Linked DNA regions of Mus musculus. The protein of the gene in region 4 interacts with the protein of the main gene of each other region in a biochemical or structural test. Links are inferred from orthologs where the notes say so. Each region holds a gene or a part of one and is shown on either strand. Other genes may lie near its edges.

Evidence for each region.
Region 1: of the proteins of Ep300 (region 4) and H2ac20, one has a biochemical effect on the other in vitro, tested with the Homo sapiens proteins (5 studies listed by BioGRID, with this or other methods). The link is inferred for Mus musculus from reciprocal best matches to the Homo sapiens genes EP300 and H2AC20.
Region 2: the proteins of Ep300 (region 4) and Carm1 form a complex in vitro, tested with the Homo sapiens proteins (5 studies listed by BioGRID, with this or other methods). The link is inferred for Mus musculus from reciprocal best matches to the Homo sapiens genes EP300 and CARM1.
Region 3: the proteins of Ep300 (region 4) and Srebf1 form a complex in vitro, tested with the Homo sapiens proteins (3 studies listed by BioGRID, with this or other methods). The link is inferred for Mus musculus from reciprocal best matches to the Homo sapiens genes EP300 and SREBF1.
Region 5: the proteins of Ep300 (region 4) and Rel form a complex in vitro, tested with the Homo sapiens proteins (3 studies listed by BioGRID). The link is inferred for Mus musculus from reciprocal best matches to the Homo sapiens genes EP300 and REL.
Region 6: of the proteins of Ep300 (region 4) and Max, one has a biochemical effect on the other in vitro, tested with the Homo sapiens proteins (3 studies listed by BioGRID). The link is inferred for Mus musculus from reciprocal best matches to the Homo sapiens genes EP300 and MAX.
Region 7: the proteins of Ep300 (region 4) and Klf4 form a complex in vitro, tested with the Homo sapiens proteins (2 studies listed by BioGRID). The link is inferred for Mus musculus from reciprocal best matches to the Homo sapiens genes EP300 and KLF4.

What each region holds. Positions count from the first base shown.
Region 1 is NC_000069.6:96,219,913-96,222,170, reverse strand, and holds H2ac20 (histone H2A type 2-C), read left to right. Parts: upstream 1-1,290; 5' UTR 1,291-1,326; coding exon 1,327-1,716; 3' UTR 1,717-1,758; downstream 1,759-2,258. Other genes in the region: H2bc21 (histone H2B type 2-E), read right to left, coding at 625-1,005; H2ac21 (histone H2A type 2-B), read right to left, coding at 1,863-2,255. UniProt on the Homo sapiens protein: Core component of nucleosome. Nucleosomes wrap and compact DNA into chromatin, limiting DNA accessibility to the cellular machineries which require DNA as a template.
Region 2 is NC_000075.6:21,587,431-21,589,967, forward strand, and holds the end of Carm1 (histone-arginine methyltransferase CARM1), read left to right. Parts: intron 1-77; coding exon 78-155; intron 156-420; coding exon 421-489; intron 490-618; coding exon 619-758; 3' UTR 759-2,037; downstream 2,038-2,537. Other genes in the region: protein YIPF2, read right to left, coding at 2,217-2,330, 2,416-2,537. UniProt on the Homo sapiens protein: Methylates (mono- and asymmetric dimethylation) the guanidino nitrogens of arginyl residues in several proteins involved in DNA packaging, transcription regulation, pre-mRNA splicing, and mRNA stability.
Region 3 is NC_000077.6:60,198,584-60,201,105, reverse strand, and holds the end of Srebf1 (sterol regulatory element-binding protein 1 isoform a precursor), read left to right. Parts: intron 1-270; coding exon 271-471; intron 472-488; exon of another isoform or gene 489-568; coding exon 569-680; intron 681-954; coding exon 955-1,184; 3' UTR 1,185-2,022; downstream 2,023-2,522.
Region 4 is NC_000081.6:81,638,214-81,641,713, forward strand, and holds part of Ep300 (histone acetyltransferase p300), read left to right. Parts: intron 1-766; coding exon 767-834; intron 835-1,527; coding exon 1,528-1,678; intron 1,679-1,781; coding exon 1,782-1,928; intron 1,929-2,226; coding exon 2,227-2,340; intron 2,341-3,046; coding exon 3,047-3,212; intron 3,213-3,500. UniProt on the Homo sapiens protein: Functions as a histone acetyltransferase and regulates transcription via chromatin remodeling. Acetylates all four core histones in nucleosomes. Histone acetylation gives an epigenetic tag for transcriptional activation.
Region 5 is NC_000077.6:23,760,970-23,764,469, reverse strand, and holds part of Rel (proto-oncogene c-Rel), read left to right. Parts: intron 1-3,314; coding exon 3,315-3,457; intron 3,458-3,500. UniProt on the Homo sapiens protein: Proto-oncogene that may play a role in differentiation and lymphopoiesis.
Region 6 is NC_000078.6:76,959,449-76,963,594, forward strand, and holds the start of Max (protein max), read right to left. Parts: upstream 2,801-4,146; 5' UTR 2,578-2,800; coding exon 2,542-2,577; intron 2,532-2,541; exon of another isoform or gene 2,337-2,531; intron 1,842-2,336; coding exon of another isoform or gene 1,815-1,841; intron 1-1,814. UniProt on the Homo sapiens protein: Transcription regulator. Forms a sequence-specific DNA-binding protein complex with MYC or MAD which recognizes the core sequence 5'-CAC[GA]TG-3'. The MYC:MAX complex is a transcriptional activator, whereas the MAD:MAX complex is a repressor.
Region 7 is NC_000070.6:55,529,676-55,533,914, reverse strand, and holds the start of Klf4 (Krueppel-like factor 4), read left to right. Parts: upstream 1-1,439; 5' UTR 1,440-2,043; coding exon 2,044-2,048; intron 2,049-2,164; coding exon 2,165-2,285; intron 2,286-2,931; coding exon 2,932-3,916; intron 3,917-4,032; coding exon 4,033-4,197; intron 4,198-4,239. UniProt on the Homo sapiens protein: Transcription factor; can act both as activator and as repressor. Binds the 5'-CACCC-3' core sequence. Binds to the promoter region of its own gene and can activate its own transcription.

The DNA.
Region 1 (2,258 bases), on a different chromosome or scaffold from region 4:
AGGAAAAACAAAAACAGAACAAAACAAACCAAGCAAGCCTCGAACAGGGATTTTAAAGCCTGATAGAGAACCATAACCGACTTCTACCAAATCGGCAGCAACGTGGAACATTCGTGTTTGTAAATCAGTAAATTAGAGGGACACCACCCTAAGTACCCCGTAACCGCTGGTGCCCAGGACACAAGTAAAGGGACAGAGCGGTTTCAGTTGTAGATGGCTGGTACCCAGCATTCGCCGACACAGTCTTAGCTGTGTCCTGGAGCCCTCTATTCGCCAGGGTAAGGAAACCATCTCACTTTAAGTCGACAAGTAAATGGTACCCCAAAAGCCTAGAACACGGAAACCGGGCCCAGAGACCCACCTCCATTATCCTAGTCTAAAAAGAACTCCAAGAAGCTAAGTAGGGTGCAGCAAACTGCAAACAGATACCCACAGGGGAACTCAAAACCACAAAGGCTTAAAACTTCTGAAGTGTACCCTTTTCAAGACCCTTGGAGTAACTTTGGAATAGGAACTAGAAACTAATGCAAGTGGCAAAGCTCTCTTCTGATTTGAGCGGGTGACTCACTAAAAGAGACTTTAAAAGATCAAAGGGGCCAGCGAGCGCCTCATCCAGGGAGGCCTCTACTTGGCGCTGGTGTACTTGGTGACGGCCTTGGTGCCCTCCGACACGGCGTGCTTGGCCAGTTCTCCGGGCAGTAGAAGGCGCACCGACGTCTGGATCTCCCGCGATGTGATTGTAGACCGCTTGTTGTAATGCGCCAGGCGAGAAGCCTCGTTTGCTATGCGCTCAAAGATGTCATTGACAAACGAGTTCATGATGCCCATGGCCTTGGACGAGATGCCGGTGTCCGGGTGCACCTGCTTCAGCACTTTGTACACATAGATGGAGTAGCTCTCCTTGCGGCTGCGCTTGCGCTTCTTGCCATCTTTCTTTTGCGCCTTGGTGACAGCCTTCTTGGAACCCTTCTTGGGAGCCGGGGCAGATTTGGCCAGTTCAGGCATGATTAAAAGCAAACAGTGGAAAACAGTCTAGTAAGTAGAAAATCAACCAGGGACCCGGAGGACTTGAGCCCTTTATGAACGCCTTATGCAAATTAGGTCTCAAAGTACTTTTAATTTCCATTGGCCCATACGCGAAACTTGCGTTTTCAGTACAAGCCTAAAATTTCAGATTTCATTGGACTTCTCAGGGGCCAAATAACCACCAATGAAAAGCTCCCTCCTCACCCCACCCCTAGGAGCGCCTATAAAGGCCTTAGAGACGAATCAACCTAGCTTTACAGAAGTTGTCACCTCGGTGTGTCCTACATTATACTCTAAGTTATGTCTGGCCGTGGCAAACAGGGAGGCAAGGCCCGCGCCAAGGCCAAGTCGCGGTCTTCCCGGGCCGGGCTACAGTTCCCGGTGGGGCGTGTGCACCGGCTGCTGCGCAAGGGCAACTACGCGGAGCGCGTGGGCGCCGGCGCGCCGGTATACATGGCGGCGGTGCTGGAGTACCTAACGGCCGAGATCCTGGAGCTGGCGGGCAACGCGGCCCGCGACAACAAGAAGACGCGCATCATCCCGCGCCATCTGCAGCTGGCCATCCGCAACGACGAGGAGCTCAACAAGCTGCTGGGCAAAGTGACGATCGCACAGGGCGGCGTCCTGCCCAACATCCAGGCCGTGCTGCTGCCCAAGAAGACCGAGAGCCACAAGGCTAAGAGCAAGTGAAACTCAACACGAATCCAAAAAGGCTCTTTTTAGAGCCACCAAATCTTTTACAAAGGAGCTAGCTAACGCGCCAGTTTGTGACCAGCCCTTTGGATGACACTTTGGTGGCTCTTAAAAGAGCCTTTTTGTGTGGAAAGGGATAATAGTTATTTGTTCTTTCCAGGCTTATGACTTTCCGTTTTCTTCGGAAGTAAGACAGCCTGAATATTGGGGAGGACCCCGCCCTGGGCGATGGTGACTCCCCCTAGTAACTTGTTGAGCTCCTCATCGTTCCTCACAGCTAGTTGCAGATGGCGCGGGATGATGCGCGTCTTCTTGTTGTCGCGGGCCGCGTTGCCCGCCAGCTCCAGGATCTCGGCCGTTAGGTACTCCAGCACCGCCGCCATGTACACCGGCGCGCCGGCGCCCACGCGCTCCGCGTAGTTGCCCTTGCGCAGCAGCCGGTGCACACGCCCCACCGGGAACTGCAGCCCGGCGCGGGACGACCGCGACTTCGCCTTGGCGCGGGCCTTGCCTCCTTGTTTGCCACGGCCAGACATGGC
Region 2 (2,537 bases), on a different chromosome or scaffold from region 4:
GGCTGGAGGCCCTTGGTGGCAGCCTGGACCCCAATTCCCAGAGCCTGCCCCACCCCTGACACCTACTCTCTGGTTAGGAATGCCTACTGCCTACGACCTGAGCAGTGTTATTGCCGGCGGCTCCAGTGTGGGTCACAACAACCTGATTCCCTTAGGTGAGTGTCCCCTGGGATCTATGGCATGGCAGGGGAGGACTGGGATGTGCCAGTGGCCAGTTAAACCAGTGCTTGGTTCTCTGCCACCACTGTCGCTGTCATGGTCACTTCTTCTTCTTCCTGGGGACTCTAGCCCTGTGTGCCTCTCTACTTTTATCACCACTCCACCTGCCCTTCCCTACACCATCCATGAGTGGAGTGGGCAGGGCAGGCTGGGGGCGGTGACATCTGCCTCCCTCCCTCTTTCCTCCCTGTCGCTACGCAGCTAACACAGGGATTGTCAATCACACCCACTCCCGGATGGGCTCCATAATGAGCACGGGCATTGTCCAAGGTAACAGGGTAGTGGGGCCGTGGGCGGGGGACGTTCCGCCTGGCCTGCGCACACGTTCAAGCTACCAGTGGGGGCCAGGCAGGCTCAGGGGTCATGCTGGCTCCTCAGTGCCCGTGACCTGCCCTACAGGCTCCTCAGGTGCCCAGGGAGGCGGCGGTAGCTCCAGTGCCCACTATGCAGTCAACAACCAGTTCACCATGGGTGGCCCTGCCATCTCTATGGCCTCGCCCATGTCCATCCCGACCAACACCATGCACTATGGGAGTTAGGTGCCTCCAGCCGCGACAGCACTGCGCACTGACAGCACCAGGAAACCAAATCAAGTCCAGGCCCGGCACAGCCAGTGGCTGTTCCCCCTTGTTCTGGAGAAGTGTGAACACCCGGTCACAGCCCTCTTTGCTATGGGAACTTGGACAATTTTGTACACGATGTCGCCGCTGCCCTCAAGTACCCCCAGCCCAACCTTTGGTCCCGAGCGCGTGTTGCTGCCATACTTTACATGAGATCCTGTTGGGGCAGCCCTCATCCTGTTCTGTACTCTCCACTCTGACCTGGCTTTGACATCTGCTGGAAGAGGCAAGTCCTCCCCCAACCCCCACAGCTGCACCTGACCAGGCAGGAGGAGGCCAGCAGCTGCCACCACAGACCTGGCAGCACCCACCCCACAACCCGTCCTTGCACCTCCCCTCACCTGGGGTGGCAGCACAGCCAGCTGGACCTCTCCTTCAACTACCAGGCCACATGGTCACCATGGGCGTGACATGCTGCTTTTTTTAATTTTATTTTTTTACGAAAAGAACCAGTGTCAACCCACAGACCCTCTGAGAAACCCGGCTGGCCGGGCCAAGCCAGCAGCCCCTGTTCCTAGGCCCAGAGGTTCTAGGTGAGGGGTGGCCCTGTCAAGCCTTCAGAGTGGGCACAGCCCCCTCCCACCAAAGGGTTCACCTCAAACTTGAATGTACAAACCACCCAGCTGTCCAAAGGCCTAGTCCCTACTTTCTGCTACTGTCCTGTCCTGAGCCCTGAAGGCCCCCCTCCATCAAAAGCTTGAACAGGCAGCCCAGAGTGTGTCACCCTGGGCTACTGGGGCAGACAAGAAACCTCAAAGATCTGTCACACACACACAAGGAAGGCGTCCTCTCCTGATAGCTAACATAGGCCTGTGTGTTGCGTTCACATTCATGTTCTACTTAATCCTCTCAAGACAGCAACCCTGGGAAGGAGCCTCGCAGGGACCTCCCCAGACAAGAAGAAAAGCAAAGAAGGAAGGGTGATTAATAAGCACAGGCAGTTTCCCCTATTCCCTTACCCTAGAGTCCCCACCTCAATGGCCACAGCCTGCCACAGGAACCCCTTGGCAAAGGCTGGAGCTGCTCTGTGCCACCCTCCTGACCTGTCAGGGAATCAGAGGGCCCTCAGGCAGCTGGGAACCAGGCTCTCTCCTGTCCATCAGTAATACTCCTTGCTCGGCTGCCCCTCCCCCACCTTTATATAAATTCTCTGGATCACCTTTGCATAGAAAATAAAAGTGTTTGCTTTGTAAGAAAAGCCTGCAAAACAGCAGGGTAGTCTCCAGGGTCCAAGAATCCTCCCATCTTCATAGGGAGGGCAGGACAAGTAGTATCCCCTTGAGTTTGGCCTGAAAAAGAAAGACTCCTAGGAATGGTCCCAGGAGGAGGGTACATCCTCAACCAACACAGAAACTGGTCCCTCACCTATGAGCCTTCCTAGGAGGTTGTCATGGGCTGGATTGAACTGGGCAGCAGGACATTGGGAGATGGAGGTGTAGCTTGGGGTGCTGGCACCACATGGTCCAGAGGCAGTGGCTGGAAGAAGTACAGCTGCAGAAAGACCTCAGAATGAATGTACAGTTGGGTGGCAGCACACCCCACTCCACAGCCCTGGTGAGAATCTCCTGGAACCTACCTTACAGCCTAGCGCCAAGAGGGCGTGAAGCAGCACCACAGTAGACAATAGTGCCGCAGCCACCAGCCGTGTATCCTCTCGGACAACAGGCCACAGTGTGAATACCAGCCCGGCTGCTGACA
Region 3 (2,522 bases), on a different chromosome or scaffold from region 4:
TGTTTCGCCACCACCAGGAAGGAGGGTGTGGGGAGCAGACTGGCAGGGTTCCTGTTGGGAGCCATTGTTGGGAAGACTGCGGGCTTGTAGCAGGAGGCGGTGCATGTGTTGAGGCAGATGCAGTGCTTCAGTGATGCAACCTGGAGTCAGGCCCCAGTGCTGTGGACTTCCTGCCCTTACTGACGCTGCCTTGAGACAGGGTGGCCCTCAGCTAGGGAAAGCTTGATGTCCATAGGGAAACTCCTCCCTCTGCCCTGCCTGCTATCCCAGGCCATGCAGCTGCTCCTGTGTGATCTACTTCTTGTGGCCCGTACCAGTCTGTGGCAGCGGCAGCAGTCACCAGCTTCAGTCCAGGTAGCTCACGGTACCAGCAATGGACCCCAGGCCTCTGCTCTGGAGCTGCGTGGTTTCCAACATGACCTGAGCAGCCTGCGGCGGTTGGCACAGAGCTTCCGGCCTGCTATGAGGAGGGTGAGTCCCACTGTTCTCACACTGAGGGGCATGAGGTAGGAAGCCGGGAGTGGGGGGACAGTAAATCTGAAACGGGTGACTACTCCTTGCCTCTCAGGTATTCCTACATGAGGCCACAGCTCGGCTGATGGCAGGAGCAAGTCCTGCCCGGACACACCAGCTCCTGGATCGCAGTCTGAGGAGGAGGGCAGGTTCCAGTGGCAAAGGAGGTGAGGAGGTGGCTGTGCTTACAGGGCTGGTGAGGGTCAGGGGCCGTCTTGGTCTAGTGAGACATACTGAGAGCTGACTTACAGAAATCAGCGGGGATGACAGTTTTTGAGGCAGTCATAGGAAAGAAGCTGAGCCCCCCTGTGTGCCCAGCCCAAGTGGAGAAAGCAGCCAGACTGGGAGTTCCACGTGGAAGAGCTCAGCTACTTTGTCCTGCACATGGGGTGTGGGCTCGGCCAGACCTAAGCCTCCCTCCCTTTGATGTGATCTGTGCAGGCACTACAGCTGAGCTGGAGCCACGGCCCACATGGCGGGAGCACACCGAGGCCCTGCTGTTGGCATCCTGCTATCTGCCCCCTGCCTTCCTGTCGGCTCCTGGGCAGCGAATGAGCATGCTGGCCGAGGCGGCACGCACCGTAGAGAAGCTTGGCGATCACCGGCTACTGCTGGACTGCCAGCAGATGCTCCTGCGCCTGGGCGGCGGAACCACCGTCACTTCCAGCTAGACCCCAAAGCTTTCCCTTGAGGACCTTTGTCATTGGCTGTGGTCTTCCAGAGGGTGAGCCTGACAAGCAATCAGGACCATGCCGACCTCTAGTGGCAGATCTGGAAATTGCAGAGGCTGCACTGGCCCGATGGCACCCTCTTGCTCTGTAGGCACCTTAGTGGCTTTTCCCTAGCTGAGGCTCACCCTGGGAGACCTGTACATAGTGTAGATCCGGCTGGGCCTGGCTCCAGGGCAGGCCCATGTACTACTTTGACTTTTGCAAACTTTATTTTCATAGGTTGAGAAATTTTGTACAGAATATTAAAAAATGAAATTATTTATAACTTCAGTTTTGTTTATCTGGGTAGGCAGATGTCTGCCTCAGCTGATTGCTATCTTTCCTGGCTTGTCCTTTGGGAAGCCGGACTTCCCATCTGTTGTAAGGTGTATTTGCTGGCTTGGTGATGCTATGTTGAGCCACCTTGGCCCTCTGATCTCATGGCTCATAACCCTTGAGGGGCCTTGATGGTCTCAGTTGTTCCTTTGCCTTCCAGCCCTCCACCAGGTAATAACCCCGTATATCCAGAAACACACACAGTTCCCTAGTCATCTCTGTGCACCAGCATAGGCGAAGGATCAGGGCCCATTAGTGAGTAGACTGGGAACCCTGTTTGTGTCCCCCGGCCCCTTCCCTCTACTCCCAACCCCTTAGGGAATCTGGTCGGCATCCACAGGCCGCACACTTCCAAAACAATCGTGGTATCTTTATTGACTTTTTTTTTTCTGAATGCAATGACTGTTTTTTTTTTTTTTAACTCTTAAGGAAAATAAACATCTTTTAGAAACAGCTCGATACACACAATCTTCAGTGTGAAGCAATATACTAATAAGAACACTAGTTGTCTTAACATTTACAGTCTTCATATATATTATATATATGTATATGTATACATATATATACACTATATAACGAGGCCAGATATAATACACACGTTTACCATTTTACAGTCATATGTACAGAACGTTGCAGGGAGAAGGGGCTGCATCAGGCCTATTAAAGCGTGGACAGAGCTGAGGACACAAACGGACAGGTGGGGGCTGGCCGTGGTGGTGGTGATGGTGGTAGTTGCTCGGGGAAGGGGCATCACTTTGGCCCCGACCCCAGCCAAGGCCAGGTTAGGGCTCTGTGCTGTGGAGCACACGACGCACAGCAGCGACACACAGAAGCGAGCATGTTCCCAACATATATACATTCTATGTAACATATATATAGAGGGGTACACAGGTTTGTACACGAATCTAGCACTGTCTCCGCCTATGAGCCGAGTGAGCTGAGTGGCAGTCCCTGAATCCCATG
Region 4 (3,500 bases):
TGCCATATACCCAGAGACTTTTTTTGAGATAGGATTTCTCTTGTAGACCAGGCTGGCCTTGAACTCAGTGTTGGGATTGAAAGCGTGTGCCACCACTACCACCACCTGACTAAATTATTTTTTAAAAAACATATATTAAGCTTGCTTTGTTTTTTGTATTTTTTTGTAATTAGAAGTTGTTTTATTATAGAATTTAATGCCAGTTCTTGATCCTCAAAGGGTGACACAGGAAAATTGGGAGTTGAAGACCAGCCTGGGTATAATAGCTAGGGATACATATAGTTCAGTAGTAGGGAACTTGCCTAGTGTATACTTAGAGAAATCTGTGTGTGTGTGGCTGTGGTTGGTGTGAGGAAACGTGGATCTATCATCAAACTTACTTTGTAATCTGTATATAGCCTTGACCAACCCTTCCTCACATCCCTCTCAGCTCTGGGATTATAATAACCATGTAGCACAGAAGCCTAAGGAGAAAGCAAAATGCTTCTTTCTTGTTGGTGTTTTTGAGATGCTCACACTGGCTCGCCAGGATCTCCTTGATCTTCCTGTCTCCCATTCTCAGTTGGGATTACAGTTATCTTGTTTCTCTCAGCTAGAAATCCTAGACCTGCCTTCTAAAAACTCTATACTGGTTATACCAACTTTGTTATATATGTAGGAACTTGTGCCAAGTGTTTTTGCGTTTACCTGGATTTGAATGATAGATTTTGTTACATGGTGCTTTAATTTTTATGTTATATAAACAAAGTCCTGGTTTACGTTTTAGGTTTGTCTGTGATGGCTGTTTAAAGAAAACTGCACGAACTAGGAAAGAAAATAAGCTTTCTGCTAAAAGTAAGTCTCATTCTTAGAGGTAAACCTTACTTTAAACAATTACAAATAGCTGGGCGGTGGTGGCACACCCTTTAATCCCAGCACTGGGAAGGAAGAGGCTGGCAGATTTCTGAGTTTGCAGTCAGCCTCTGCATATATATGTGTGTGTGTGTGTGTGTGTGTGTGTATGTATATGTATATGTATATATGGCCAAAATTGATCAATTTTAACAAGTGTTGTGGTACATACCTCTAAGCTCTGTACTTAGGAGGCAGGCAGATCTCTTGAGTTTGAGGCCAGCCTCGTCTACATAGTGAGCCCCTCTTTCAAAAGAGAAAAAGAGATTTAGCTAAAATAAAATAATCCTATAGCATACTGAATATTGAGCTATAAAAAAAATCACTGAAGTTCTAATATACATTTTCTCCTCTATTTCTTCCTGATTTGGCTCATGTCATAATGTGATGCACATGTAAAAGTGACTGACTAGAATCACTGTAAAATTAACAGGCACCTTCTGGCCTTACCTGATACTTTGTATTGAGTGATATGATATCTTACTATGTTGAAAAAAAAAAAAAACAAATACATCAGGTTAGTTGAACCTCAATATTGACAGTAAAATTTGAGCCATGGTAATGTTCTTCCTACTCTAACATTTGTAATTGTGCACAAGACCTTAACTTGGTAACTTGTAACTTTTATATTTCTAGGATTGCCATCTACCAGACTTGGGACCTTTCTGGAGAATCGAGTGAATGACTTTCTGAGGCGACAAAATCACCCTGAATCAGGAGAGGTCACTGTTCGGGTTGTTCATGCTTCTGACAAAACTGTGGAAGTGAAACCAGGCATGAAAGCAAGGTGTCTAATGATATCTATTTTGTATTTATAGATCTACAATTGTGCACACTCAATTATTGTTGATTTCAACCTGAATGATTTGTGATTTCCTTTTCATCTGTAGGTTTGTAGATAGTGGAGAGATGGCAGAATCTTTTCCATACCGAACAAAGGCCCTGTTTGCCTTTGAAGAAATTGATGGTGTTGACTTGTGTTTCTTCGGCATGCATGTTCAAGAATATGGCTCTGACTGCCCCCCTCCCAACCAGAGGTAGGACTCAATGTGACCAGCTTCTCATGTTGTGGGAGAGGGAATGGCAAGGGGATTGGGTTCCTGTGATAACTGGCAGAAAAGCACACTGGGCAGAAACAGGATGGTGAGTATAGCATGTACCAGGTCAGTCCTACATAGAAGCCAAGGTCGACCCAGATCCCCATAGTCACACCTGGGATTTCCCTATGATAATTACAAGTAACAAGAGCACAGGAAGGAATGCTGATGTCTTTAGCCATATAAATAATAATTTAATACGTGATGAAACATTTTTCTTTCCTTGTTTTTGATATAGGAGGGTATACATATCTTACCTCGATAGTGTTCATTTCTTCCGTCCTAAATGCTTGCGGACTGCAGTCTATCATGAAATTCTAATTGGATATTTGGAATATGTCAAGAAATTAGGGTAAGCTTATTAAAAAGTGATATGTTGTAGAAAATGTATAATTATGTATTTTTGCTTTCTCGTGTTGGTTATGATACAGTGGAGCCATGAACTCAGTTTGTTAGATCTTCTGTGATATGAAGATGATATCACCATGCTTTAACTAATAAACCAATTCTTTTGTTCTGTTTTGTTGAAACTATTGATATTATTCATTTGGAAATAAAATGTTTTCTTGATCCTTTTATAATTGTGTGTAAAGACTAACAACATGCTGAATATGATACGTACAATCCCAGCCGTGTAGAGTACAAGTTCATTTATAGGTTAACATGTGCAGATAGTCCTTACCTAATCAATTCTGGAGAGTATTTGCCACCTAACTTATAGCAGTTCCCCTTACACTTAATTTTTAGGATGGGTTTCTTCCCTTTTTTGATCTTAAAATACAGACTTGAGGTTTTAGGATCAAGAACCAATTTCTGTAAATGAAATTTACAACATTCCTCAATGGCCTTTGAAAACAAGTAGTGGTATGAGAACTGTTAGTGCATCTGCTTTTGGGTCTTATTGAGAGTAAACATTTGTGTCCTTGTCTTTTTGCCTTGTTGTTTACCACGTACTGTGTGCAGTGGTTTGCACCTGTAGCCTCCACTACTCTAGGAGGACTACTGTAGCGTTTTCTAACACAAATGATATCTTGATGTCTTTCTCTTTGTGTTTTTAGATACACAACAGGGCACATCTGGGCCTGTCCACCCAGTGAAGGGGATGACTATATCTTCCATTGCCATCCACCTGATCAGAAGATACCAAAGCCCAAGCGCCTGCAAGAATGGTACAAAAAGATGCTTGACAAGGCTGTATCAGAACGTATTGTCCATGACTACAAGGTCAGTTGGAACATAGAAACATACTAGTCTACTATTTTCTGTCTTCTCTTTGACAAGTATTGTTCAGTTTTTTTTTTTTTTGGTTTTTTTGGTTTTTCGAGACAGGGTTTCTCTGTGTAGCCCTGGCTACCCTGGAACTCACTTTGTAGACCAGGCTGGCCTCGAACTCAGAAATCTGTCTGCCTCTGCCTCCTGAGTGCTGGGATTAAAGGCATGCACCACCATGCCCGGCTTTGTTCAGTCTTATAACGTGTAACTGTTATAATTTTAGTTTATTAAAGTTTAATT
Region 5 (3,500 bases), on a different chromosome or scaffold from region 4:
AAAAATAAATATAAATGCATGAAATTACATGACAATATTTAGGTAATTCTTATTACTTTAAGAAATTTTAAAAATACTTAGTCTTAGGTCCTTTGTATTTCATAGTTTTATAAATACACTCACTGGTTTAAAGAAATGTGTAACTTGCTTTGAATAACCCTGCAATGTTTTTTATATTTCTCCTTTAAAAAAAATCCAGCTATCATTAATGATATCATTAATTATCAATTTCTCACCAGAACACCTTTTAAGTAGTGGGCTGGGATTTATTTGACCATTTAGTTCAACCATATAAGTTCTTTAAGATGCCACTGAAAAAAATCATGTTGAATTTAACACATTTGAAGAGAAAGGTACATTCTCTTAAGTAGTCCTACAAGAATGCATAGGCATATAAGATATTTAAAATTACGATGTAATTTTTACATATACAGTGATACACACATTGTAAAATATTCATTTGCCTTATATTTCCAGTAATTACTATGGACTTTGTTGGATTAAAGTAGTTTTCTCTTTTGTGTGTGTGTGTGTGTGTGTGTGTGTGTGTGTGTGTGTGTTTGTTGTTTATTTGTGTTCTTTTGTTTTGTTTCTGGTGGTACTGAGTTTGTACCCAGATCCTTCAGCCTGCTTTCTGTCATTTGAATAAGCAAATGAGTGATAGATTCAAATGCAAGAGGTCTAAATCAGAATGAATAAAATTAAAGGTAGCAGCAATAATTTATTGAAAAACCACATGGCCACAATTGATTCTCCCCTTTGCCCCCACCCCCTGTGTGTCTCTCTCACAGGGACCTAGTACTCACTCATTAGGCTAGTCTGGCAAGCCAGTGACTGCCAAGGTTCCTCCTATCTCCTCTCCAGCACTGGCTTACAGGGATATGCTACCATGCCTGGCTGTTTTTATGGATGCTGGGGCTTGAACTCAGGATCTTGTACTTGAATGTCACGCATTTTTCTGACTGGGCTGTTTTCCCAGACTCTTACCACTAGTGGTTTATTTCTCTTTGATGTTTAGATACCAAAATATGTCAGTTTTGTTTTTTGAAATAATCTTTTTTCTTTATAACAGCTATATTTCAGACATATCCACATTTTTGCTCATATGACAATACTCTCCACTTACCTATAGTCTGATTTTTTTCAGTTCATTTATTTGTAATCAACTGTAGTCCAAAATGTTAAAAGAAAAATTTCATAAAGTTTTAAATAACTTGTTTTAGTCATTTGTTGTAATTCTATTATATTGTTGTTAACCTCTTATATGTGTGTATGTATGTATGTGTGTGTATGTATGTATGTGTGTGTGTGTTTATAGGATAAAATGTATGTGCATGTATGTAAGTCGTCTTAAACTGATTCTTTTCTTTTCTTTTTTTTTTTTTAGTCTAACCACTACCATCAGAATTCTTTCTCTAGAAAGCTAATCTGAGCCTTTGATTTCCTGAATAAAAGCATTGATTGCTTTTCACATATACAACAAAATCCATATTACTGGATGTGCTTGGACTTTTGGTTCTCTTTCTAAGAGTGGTAGTGCACTCTACTTCCATTGGTGGTTGATGTCATGGACAATTACTTCCCTTTTTCTAAAATGTCTTTCCACTCTTGTTTTGTTACATTTTCCCTCTCTTAAACTGTTAGATTCCTCTTTTGTTCTTATTATAACTTTCTGCAGAATTTTGTTAGTATTTCCCCCTTCTGTACACTAACATCATTGCGATGACTAGTATAGTCATTGCTTGCTGTTGGGTATAGGGTCCTTCCGAGTAGCAGCTGTGATAGTGAGGGTGTCACTTTCTTCAAGAGAGCAACATCTGAAGTAATAGTAGTACCATTTACTGATTACCACTTGTATGTGTGATACTTGGAAGAATTTAACACATATTTTACAGAGCATATTAATAATAAGATATTATTAAACACAGGGTCTTGCTAGACTCTTGCTGGATCTTATTTTGTTTTGATAGTAGAACTCAGGAGGCAAAAAAATCACTGCAAGTTCATGGTCAATTGGGTCTACATATACATAGTAAATTCTACAAGGAAAAGAAAAGTGCCCAGTTTGGAATAGACCATGTCCCATGCTATACTAAAAAACTCATTGTTTCACCATTTCTGAAGCTTGTTTACATTCTACAGGATAAGCCTTAGTGAAATGGGTTTATGGTTTGGGGAATTTATACTCCTGAAGTAAAATCACATGGTTACCTGCCTTAACATGAAAACACAGTTATTTTATGGACCTTCTATTTCCATGACTTGGCTAAAGGGTGAAGATGCATATATTTTTAAAGTTTTATTGACATATACTTAAAACTCATTATAATATAATAATTATATATAAACTTTTTTTTTAGTTTTTTTTTTTTTTTGATATGAGATCTCATTATGTAGCCCTGCTGGCCTGGAACTTGCTATATAGTTAAGACTGGTCTTGAACTCACAGAGATCAGCCTACCTCTATTAAGGCCTGGCCCTCCATACTTGGAAATACCATCCTTCAAACTTTCTCATCTACCAAGTTTAGACAAATAGTGATCACCTTTTTTTTCATTATAGATTAGCTTACATTTCTGGAGTTTCATGTAAATGGATCATATAGTATGTGCTTCTTTTACTCAACACACTTACTTTGGTAGTTATATTTATAGTGTTTTATCCTAAGGGTACGTATGTTGAATTACATTTGTTATGGAAGGTAAATGACTTTGTTATCTCCACATTATGTGTTACATTTTGGAGAAGATTTAGATGGGACCGATTTGAAAGTTCAGTTGAGCTTAAAGTCAGTATACTGTTTTAGTATATTGTGTACAGATCCTTTGATAATCCAGACTCGCCTATGCAAGGACGTAAGTCCACTTTAATTTTTAATGAGTGTTCTTTCATGCAGTGATTGTCTAATTTAAAATAAAGCAGTTAAGTACATTTTACTCAGTTTTGGAATATAATGTACTTCTGAATACTATTTTCTTCACCTTTCTTGGGAAATGTTGGAAGAAAAACTTTATAATTGCCCTCATGTGGACAGGTAACTCTAAGAGTTGTTATCTCACAACTTAATACACTCATTAGGTATAGATATTAAGCAATAAAGAACTCACCAGTTATGTGTTAATACTACATAGGAATTTAGTTTGTATAAGGAAATGTTATCTTCATCATTTAATCTTTGAAGATTACATTTTAACTTTGTTATTTAATGTTGGGAAGGAAAAAGATCTTTGTTTTTTTTAAAAAAAAATATATCCATTAATGTCTATTATATTACTATTCTAATCTCATTGCACTGTTCTTTTTAAAATTTTCAGGTGGATATAATCCATACGTAGAAATAATTGAACAGCCAAGGCAGAGGGGAATGCGGTTTAGATACAAGTGTGAAGGGCGATCAGCAGGTAGCATCCCAGGGGAGCGCAGCACAGACAACAACCGGACATACCCGTCTGTCCAGGTAATGGCCTTTCTTCAGTATCTCACTTTTAAGGGTTCAGTTT
Region 6 (4,146 bases), on a different chromosome or scaffold from region 4:
GAGAGTTCTTGTTCGTGTGAGGCAGAATCTCATGCTGTAGCCCAGGCTGGAACTCATTCTATATCCCAGGCTGGCTTAAAATTCAGGGAAGACTCCTGCCAAAGCCTCAGAAGCCCTGGGCTTACATACTGGGCCACAAGCCTGGACTCTGTGTTGTGTATGTTAAGGCAGGGTCTCAGTAAATTGCTCGAACGTTTGATCCTCCTACCTCAGCCTCCCCAGTAACTGGGTTTACCGACCAGAACCACCAAGCCTAGTTGCATCCTGCAAACTCTACAAGTTCCTAAACAGCTGTGTCATATATCGTTTAAAAATCAGGTAACTAGAAGGTAGAGAGATAGCTCAGTGGGTAAAGGCACTGAGGTCAAACCTGATGACCCTAAATTCAATCCCCAGACCCATGTGTTTGAGAGAGAGAACTGAATCCAAGTGGTTCTTATGACCTTCACATGTGAGCCATCACATACACGTGACCACACAACACTCACACACACATACATACATACATACACACATACATACATACACACACACACACACACACACACACACACACACACACGTTAAGTAAATGTAATTAAAAAAATCAATTAAATAGGCTGAGGTTGAAGCTCCATGGCAGAGGGGTTGCACAGCATGCGAGGGCCCTGGGTTCGAATCCTAGCACAGTCAAAAGTTAAATGCACATAAACACACCCAAAAAAGTAATAATCTGTGTTTCAAGTATTTTAACATTTCTCATAAACTTTGAGGTTCCAGGGATAGGGCTCAGCCCTGAAGGAAACAAAAAGATCTGGCAGCACCGGGCAGCACCGATCACTCTCAGGTAGCAAGCAGCAGGGGCAGGTGGCTACGGACTTTTTAGAAGGGGTGTACATCCTCACCTCTTCCTTCCACCCTTGACTAGCTGTTACCTGGTCCTCACGGGTAATGAGGACCTCACTCCATTCTCTTTCCCTACCATTTCCAACCATCAAATATTCCATCTCTCTCTCTCTCCTCTGGTTGTATTCTGAGTCTATTCCTTCTCTCCTCTCTCTCTCTAATCTATGCCTATTTACTCCTAAGTCTCAGACTCCAGACAAGAAAGCATGGGGTCAACCCAAAGCCAGAAACACCTACAAAAAAACCCCATTAATATAAAAAAATCTAATAAGTTACTGATAACATTATATGGATGCATCCATCACCTTTCAGCAAAGCTGTCTCTAACAGTGCCACTCTTCAACATTTTTTTTCTTCTCAAATGGAAAGTCAAGACCACAAAAAGCTGTGCCACTTTCAATATTTAACTTCTAGCGCCTCTCTTTTTTCCATTGTCGTTTTTTGGGGAATATCATGCTTTTCTAGATCCTAGGAGTCTGCAGTAGTCACATGACCTTGGCTAAAGGCGATTATTACATGTGCCTGCAACTTCACACAACTATGGAGATACTGCTTAAAGTTTACCTGCTCCTAAATAAAACCTAGCCAGTTTGCTCTGAAATAACACTACCATTCACTTCAGAATGCCCTTCCATTTCTCACATATCTCCGCCGCACTGAACACTACAGAACAACTCAGTTCACAGCACAGGCCTCCTCACTTGCCTGCCTACCTACCTACCTACTCACTAGAATCTACCACCTGAATATCAAGAATCATGTGGATTTGCAACGCCCCCCTCCTCCAACCCCAACAGACTCAACCTCACCTTAGCGGTTAAGAGGAGTTTACAAGAGTATTAAAAGTAATAGAACGATCTCTTTTTCTGACTCCAAAAAGAACCAAAACTGAACGGAAATGAAAATGAAATGGAGAGTAGGAGACGTACCGCAGATTGAAACCTCGGTTGCTCTTCCTGGAATAAGAGAGAGAGAAAAATAGAAAATACAGAAGTTATTTTCACACTTCGAATTCAATAATAAGAAAGAAAATGCCGGCGGCGGAGGAAGCAGCGGGTGGGGAGTCAGTCTGACACCCCTCCCTCCCTCTTTCCCCTTCCACTCTCTCCAGCGAGATCCCGTAGCCTAGTTGGGGGGGGGGGGGGGGGGGGTTTCAGGCACTGCCCCTCCTTCTGGGATCCGAACCGGACAAGAGGGATCCGGAACACTGCCTGCTCTCCCTCGATCCCTCTAGGGCGTCAGAGCACTCCCAGCCCCTTCACCCCAAGGATCAACCGGTCACAGGAGGAGGGAGCTCATGGACCCAAAGAGCAAGAGCTGAGCGCTGGTCTCCTTGCCCAGGATCCGGAAGGATAATGGGATCCCCAGCCGGGCAGAGCGGAGAGGGAGGCCTCGACACCCTCCTCCACGGGAGAATGTGGGGGTCCCAGAGGCCGCGTGTCTGCTCCCACCTTCAGTCCCAGGAGGCCTCTCCGGACAGGACTGGAGGGGAGCGAGCCTGGAGCGCGACGCAGGCGGTCCCGGCCCCGGGGGGAGGGGGAGAAAAGGACGGAGGCGGCGGCGACCCGACCCCCTCCCGCCGTCGCCCGGCTGAGAACCCTTGCCGCTGTCCCCGCCTGACAACCCGAACGGAAAGGAAGAAGCCCCAGGACTCACGTCGCTCTCCACCTCGATGTCATCGTTATCGCTCATTTCCTACGGCCCAGGGAGCGGCCACTGCAGCGGCGGCCGGGGAGGGGAGGGGTGGAGGGAAGGGGGAAGTCACCGACAACAACAAGCCGAGTGCCCCCACGCACACACTCACTCACTCGCTCACTCACTCACACACACTCACGCACACACAACACGGGCGACAACCACCTCACTGCAGCACCGGATCAACGGCGGCACGCACGCCCGATCGGCCCCCTAACACGTGACCGGGCTCACCGCGCCGGGGTAGCTGAGACTTGTAGTCCTCGAGCGTCGGATGGGCGAGTGAGAGAGAGCCAGAGAAACTACAAATCCCATCAGGAACCGCACACAGGCTTCGCCAGACTCGCTTGTTGACAGAGCTCAGGGCGCCTGCGCCCCGGGTGTTGGCAGCGAGAAGTGGCGCGGTGCCTCCCGGGAGATGTAGTCCACAGACCGCGAGTTGTCAGGAGATTTTCCTCCCCAGGCGGCGGAGAGGCTGCTGGGAAGACAGGACACGTGGAGGGAGCTGGGCTCCTGGAGCCGGCCACAATTCCGAGCTCTGGGCGCCCGGCCCAAGGGATTGGGTGGAGGCTCGGGGGTTTGGGGGCGGGGGGAGAGAAACTGGCTGCCAAAATAACACTGTCTCTTCTTGGCTAGACTGCTTTTACATTGTCTCGTTTAATGCTTGAGTCGCTCCACTTGCGCCCTGGGGCGTAACCCTCCCGGGAAGGAATCACGCTGTGGCTGACCAGGGGGCGCGGTCGAGATGCCCACGCGGGCCCTCTGTTATCTGGGTTTAAGGTGTTAAGAGACATTACGGGACAAACTAAAGGACCGATTTCGCCGGGTGTCCTTCATCTCAAGAATCTTGCTTTCATTTGTCCGAGAGAACTGTCCTTGCTGGGCTTGAGTGTTTACAAAACCTCTCGTAGGTGCAAGTAAAACCTACCTTCTGTTTGTTGTAGCCGGAGCAGATTAGGGAGTGCCCCAGTTTATAGAGAACTTTAATTAACTGCAAAAAGAATCAAAACGGGAAAGTTGTGCAGCTCCCTGTCCAGTTAAGGTCATACATAATGCAACGAGGTATGAAGTGTAACTACATTGTCCCCACCCGCATTTAGCTAAGTATCTAATATGTGGCAGCCCAGGAATGGCATGATGTGTCCCCTCAAAGACTTCACAGCTTTGAAAGCAAAAACCGGACTACCCTGTCACCATTTTCAGTGTGCACCAGGTCCTCAATGAAACAACAAACAAACAAACAAACAAACAAACAGTAATAATAAGGTCATCTGAGAAATTAACCAGACTACCACTTTACAATTGATCTTCAAAATGAGTGCGGTCTTGAGTTTGATTTATGAGTTAATGTTTTTTGAGTAAAAAATCATTTAACCCCTGACTATTGAGTGCAGAAACTTGGTGGTGTAATACAATCTTTCTGACACCTAGCCCAGGCTGGCCTTAAATGTCCGTGTGGCCAAGCCTAGTGATGAGAACACAGTCATAAGCAGACACTGACTCGTAATAGAAGTCAAGGGCTGTAAGGGAGACAAAGATGGTAAGAGGGTTTTTTGTTTGTTTGTT
Region 7 (4,239 bases), on a different chromosome or scaffold from region 4:
ACGTGGCACCGACGCCCCGAGAGGAGCGAGTGCACACGCTGCCTATGCTGGAGCATCGACCCCCTTTCCCGAGTGCCTTTCTTCAGTCCCCGCCCTCAGCTGTCTCCGCCAGGGTTCAACCATGAGGGCGGCGGAGCCCAACTCTGCTCCCCAATCCAAAATAAACACCTAGCCTTAAAAAAAAAAAAAAAGTAAACCTAGTTTAGCGAGTTATACTGAACACCACACTCACGGTTTTTGTTTTGTTTTAAGTACTTGGTAGAGATGAGGGCGAAAACCTTTCCCGGCTGGAAAATTACTGAGGGTAGTGGGGAATGGGAAAAGGAGTAATAAGACTAAAACAAAGACTGCCTTTTCCCCTCCCGGTAGGCAAGGGCCTGAGGTGCCACTTTGGAGCACTAGGGTCCCATTGCAGCGCTCCTCTTCCCAGCGCAGGATCACCTCCCAGTGAAGTCCCTTTGAGTGGGTTGGCTAGCTCAGAACCTAAGTTGATGGGAGCGAGTTGTCCTATGACCTTTACCTCGCCGCTTCACCTCTTTATGACTCACTTCTCATCTTCAAAATGAAGAGTGCGAGTGCGTAGCTTGTAAAGAGCTTTGAGATCCCTGGTGAAAGGTATCTCCGCGCCTCGGTCCCTCTCCGCGTTCCCACTCCCCCACCCCCAATGTAAATCTGGAACGCCTTCCTTGTTCCTTCCATTATCAAGATGACTACGTGCCCAATCCCGGCCGCTCTCTTTCATAGCAGGCGCGGAACCCCTTCTCCTAGCTTCTGAGATTCCTAGCGCCCCCCCCCAATCACCCGGCCCTCACCCCCACCCTACGGGAGGCCCCACTGGCACCCGCGCCAGGCCAGGCCCTGCGCCGACACGGCCCGGCGTCTGCGTGCGTATGCGAGAGAGGGCGGGCTGGATGAGTCACGCGGATAATCGCGCTCTCGAGTGCGCAGACGACAGGACAAGCGCGTACGCGAGCAGGGGTAGGGGCGCGCCGCCTCTTCCCCCCCACACACACACACCCCCAACCTCCTGTCCCCCGCCAGGGTTCCCGTGGCAGGACTTTCGAGCCCAGGGAACCGACCGTGGCCGCCCAGAGGACCCCGAGTAGCGCGGCCACGGGAGCCACGCCGTACTCCCAGCGCCGGAGCCGCCGTCGCCGCCACCGCCGCCGGCGTCAGCACGGCTCCAGCCCGCCAGCTGCCTGGCTGGCGTCACGGCCTGGCCCCGCCCCGCCCGCGCCCCTCCCTCGCCCCCGCCCCCACGTGCGCGGAGTTTGTTTATTTAGCTACCATGGCAACGCGCAGTGGGGGCTGCGGGAAGGCGGGGAGAAGAAAGGCAGGGGGCGGGGCCTGGCGGCGGAGCCCCGCGCGCCGCCACAGGGAGGAGGCGGGGAGCAAGCGAGCGAGAAGTTATAAGTAAGAAGCGCGCGGCGGCCGCCGGCAGTTCCCCGGCCAAGAGAGCGAGCGCGGCTCCGGGCGCGCGGGGAGCAGAGGCGGTGGCGGGCGGCGGCGGCACCCGGAGCCGCCGAGTGCCCCTCCCCGCCCCTCCAGCCCCCCACCCAGCAACCCGCCCGTGACCCGCGCCCATGGCCGCGCGCACCCGGCACAGTCCCCAGGACTCCGCACCCCGCGCCACCGCCCAGCTCGCAGTTCCGCGCCACCGCGGCCATTCTCACCTGGCGGCGCCGCCCGCCCACCGCCCGGACCACAGCCCCCGCGCCGCCGACAGCCACAGTGGCCGCGACAACGGTGGGGGACACTGCTGAGTCCAAGAGCGTGCAGCCTGGCCATCGGACCTACTTATCTGCCTTGCTGATTGTCTATTTTTATAAGAGTTTACAACTTTTCTAAGAATTTTTGTATACAAAGGAACTTTTTTAAAGACATCGCCGGTTTATATTGAATCCAAAGAAGAAGGATCTCGGGCAATCTGGGGGTTTTGGTTTGAGGTTTTGTTTCTAAAGTTTTTAATCTTCGTTGACTTTGGGGCTCAGGTACCCCTCTCTCTTCTTCGGACTCCGGAGGACCTTCTGGGCCCCCACATTAATGAGGTAGGTGAGATGTTGGACTTGGGAACAGAAAGGGGTGAGGATTGGAGGGAAGCTTCGGAGCAGTGGCCAGGGTGTCCCCTGACTCCTGGTCCCTGTGCGCCCCGCCCGGCCCGCAGGCAGCCACCTGGCGAGTCTGACATGGCTGTCAGCGACGCTCTGCTCCCGTCCTTCTCCACGTTCGCGTCCGGCCCGGCGGGAAGGGAGAAGACACTGCGTCCAGCAGGTGCCCCGACTAACGTGAGTGTCGCGCTAGTGCCCTGTAGATTTCTGCAGATGGGGTGGGGTGTATGGGCGGAATCCGGGGGTCACCAAGAGTCCTTGGTTAGGACAAGGATTGCCCTCCATTGGAACTCTACAGCCTTCCGAGGTGGCTCCTCGGCCCTTGAGTCGGCCTTAAGTGCGTGTGGTCCCGGCACTGCGGTACCGCCAGGGGCGCACAGCGGTTCCCCACTAGTCTTCGGGCGTCCGGACCGTGGGGTGGGCGCACTCAGTCCACTATATTTTAGGTGGACAAGTCTCGAGACCCTTTGGGCCGGAGTGATCGTAGCGCGTGGGCGACCCGGTGGCTATGGTGCATGGGGAGAAAGCCACCGTGTCCCAGTGTCCCAATTCCGTGGGCGGCTGGAGCGTCCCGCGGATCTGGCGGGGAAGAGGACTGGGCTGGTGGAGCGACGGCACTAGCTTGCAGGAGAACGAACGCGCCACCTCTTACCTTGGTGTTAGCTGAGATTGCAGTGTGGCCCCTGGAGTCCCCGAGGCTGCCTTCCTGTTCTGTCCAGTTCCTATAGCAGGGTGTTGGTGTGCTTCACCCAACAAGTCAATATTAGGGGTGGCAACAGGGTGCTACAATTAACAGTTTCTCTCTCCCTCCCTGTTCTTGCAGCGTTGGCGTGAGGAACTCTCTCACATGAAGCGACTTCCCCCACTTCCCGGCCGCCCCTACGACCTGGCGGCGACGGTGGCCACAGACCTGGAGAGTGGCGGAGCTGGTGCAGCTTGCAGCAGTAACAACCCGGCCCTCCTAGCCCGGAGGGAGACCGAGGAGTTCAACGACCTCCTGGACCTAGACTTTATCCTTTCCAACTCGCTAACCCACCAGGAATCGGTGGCCGCCACCGTGACCACCTCGGCGTCAGCTTCATCCTCGTCTTCCCCGGCGAGCAGCGGCCCTGCCAGCGCGCCCTCCACCTGCAGCTTCAGCTATCCGATCCGGGCCGGGGGTGACCCGGGCGTGGCTGCCAGCAACACAGGTGGAGGGCTCCTCTACAGCCGAGAATCTGCGCCACCTCCCACGGCCCCCTTCAACCTGGCGGACATCAATGACGTGAGCCCCTCGGGCGGCTTCGTGGCTGAGCTCCTGCGGCCGGAGTTGGACCCAGTATACATTCCGCCACAGCAGCCTCAGCCGCCAGGTGGCGGGCTGATGGGCAAGTTTGTGCTGAAGGCGTCTCTGACCACCCCTGGCAGCGAGTACAGCAGCCCTTCGGTCATCAGTGTTAGCAAAGGAAGCCCAGACGGCAGCCACCCCGTGGTAGTGGCGCCCTACAGCGGTGGCCCGCCGCGCATGTGCCCCAAGATTAAGCAAGAGGCGGTCCCGTCCTGCACGGTCAGCCGGTCCCTAGAGGCCCATTTGAGCGCTGGACCCCAGCTCAGCAACGGCCACCGGCCCAACACACACGACTTCCCCCTGGGGCGGCAGCTCCCCACCAGGACTACCCCTACACTGAGTCCCGAGGAACTGCTGAACAGCAGGGACTGTCACCCTGGCCTGCCTCTTCCCCCAGGATTCCATCCCCATCCGGGGCCCAACTACCCTCCTTTCCTGCCAGACCAGATGCAGTCACAAGTCCCCTCTCTCCATTATCAAGGTTAGTGGGGGGAAGGGACTGGCTGGTAGAGATGGCGCTGGGAGCTTTGTTTCTGGGGATCTTGAGACTATCCAGATTGAAGTTGACCCCACTTTCTTTACCCCCCCCCCTCCCAGAGCTCATGCCACCGGGTTCCTGCCTGCCAGAGGAGCCCAAGCCAAAGAGGGGAAGAAGGTCGTGGCCCCGGAAAAGAACAGCCACCCACACTTGTGACTATGCAGGCTGTGGCAAAACCTATACCAAGAGTTCTCATCTCAAGGCACACCTGCGAACTCACACAGGTAAGGGAACCAGCACTGTGGAGGAGGGTTGGTGCCTGTCTG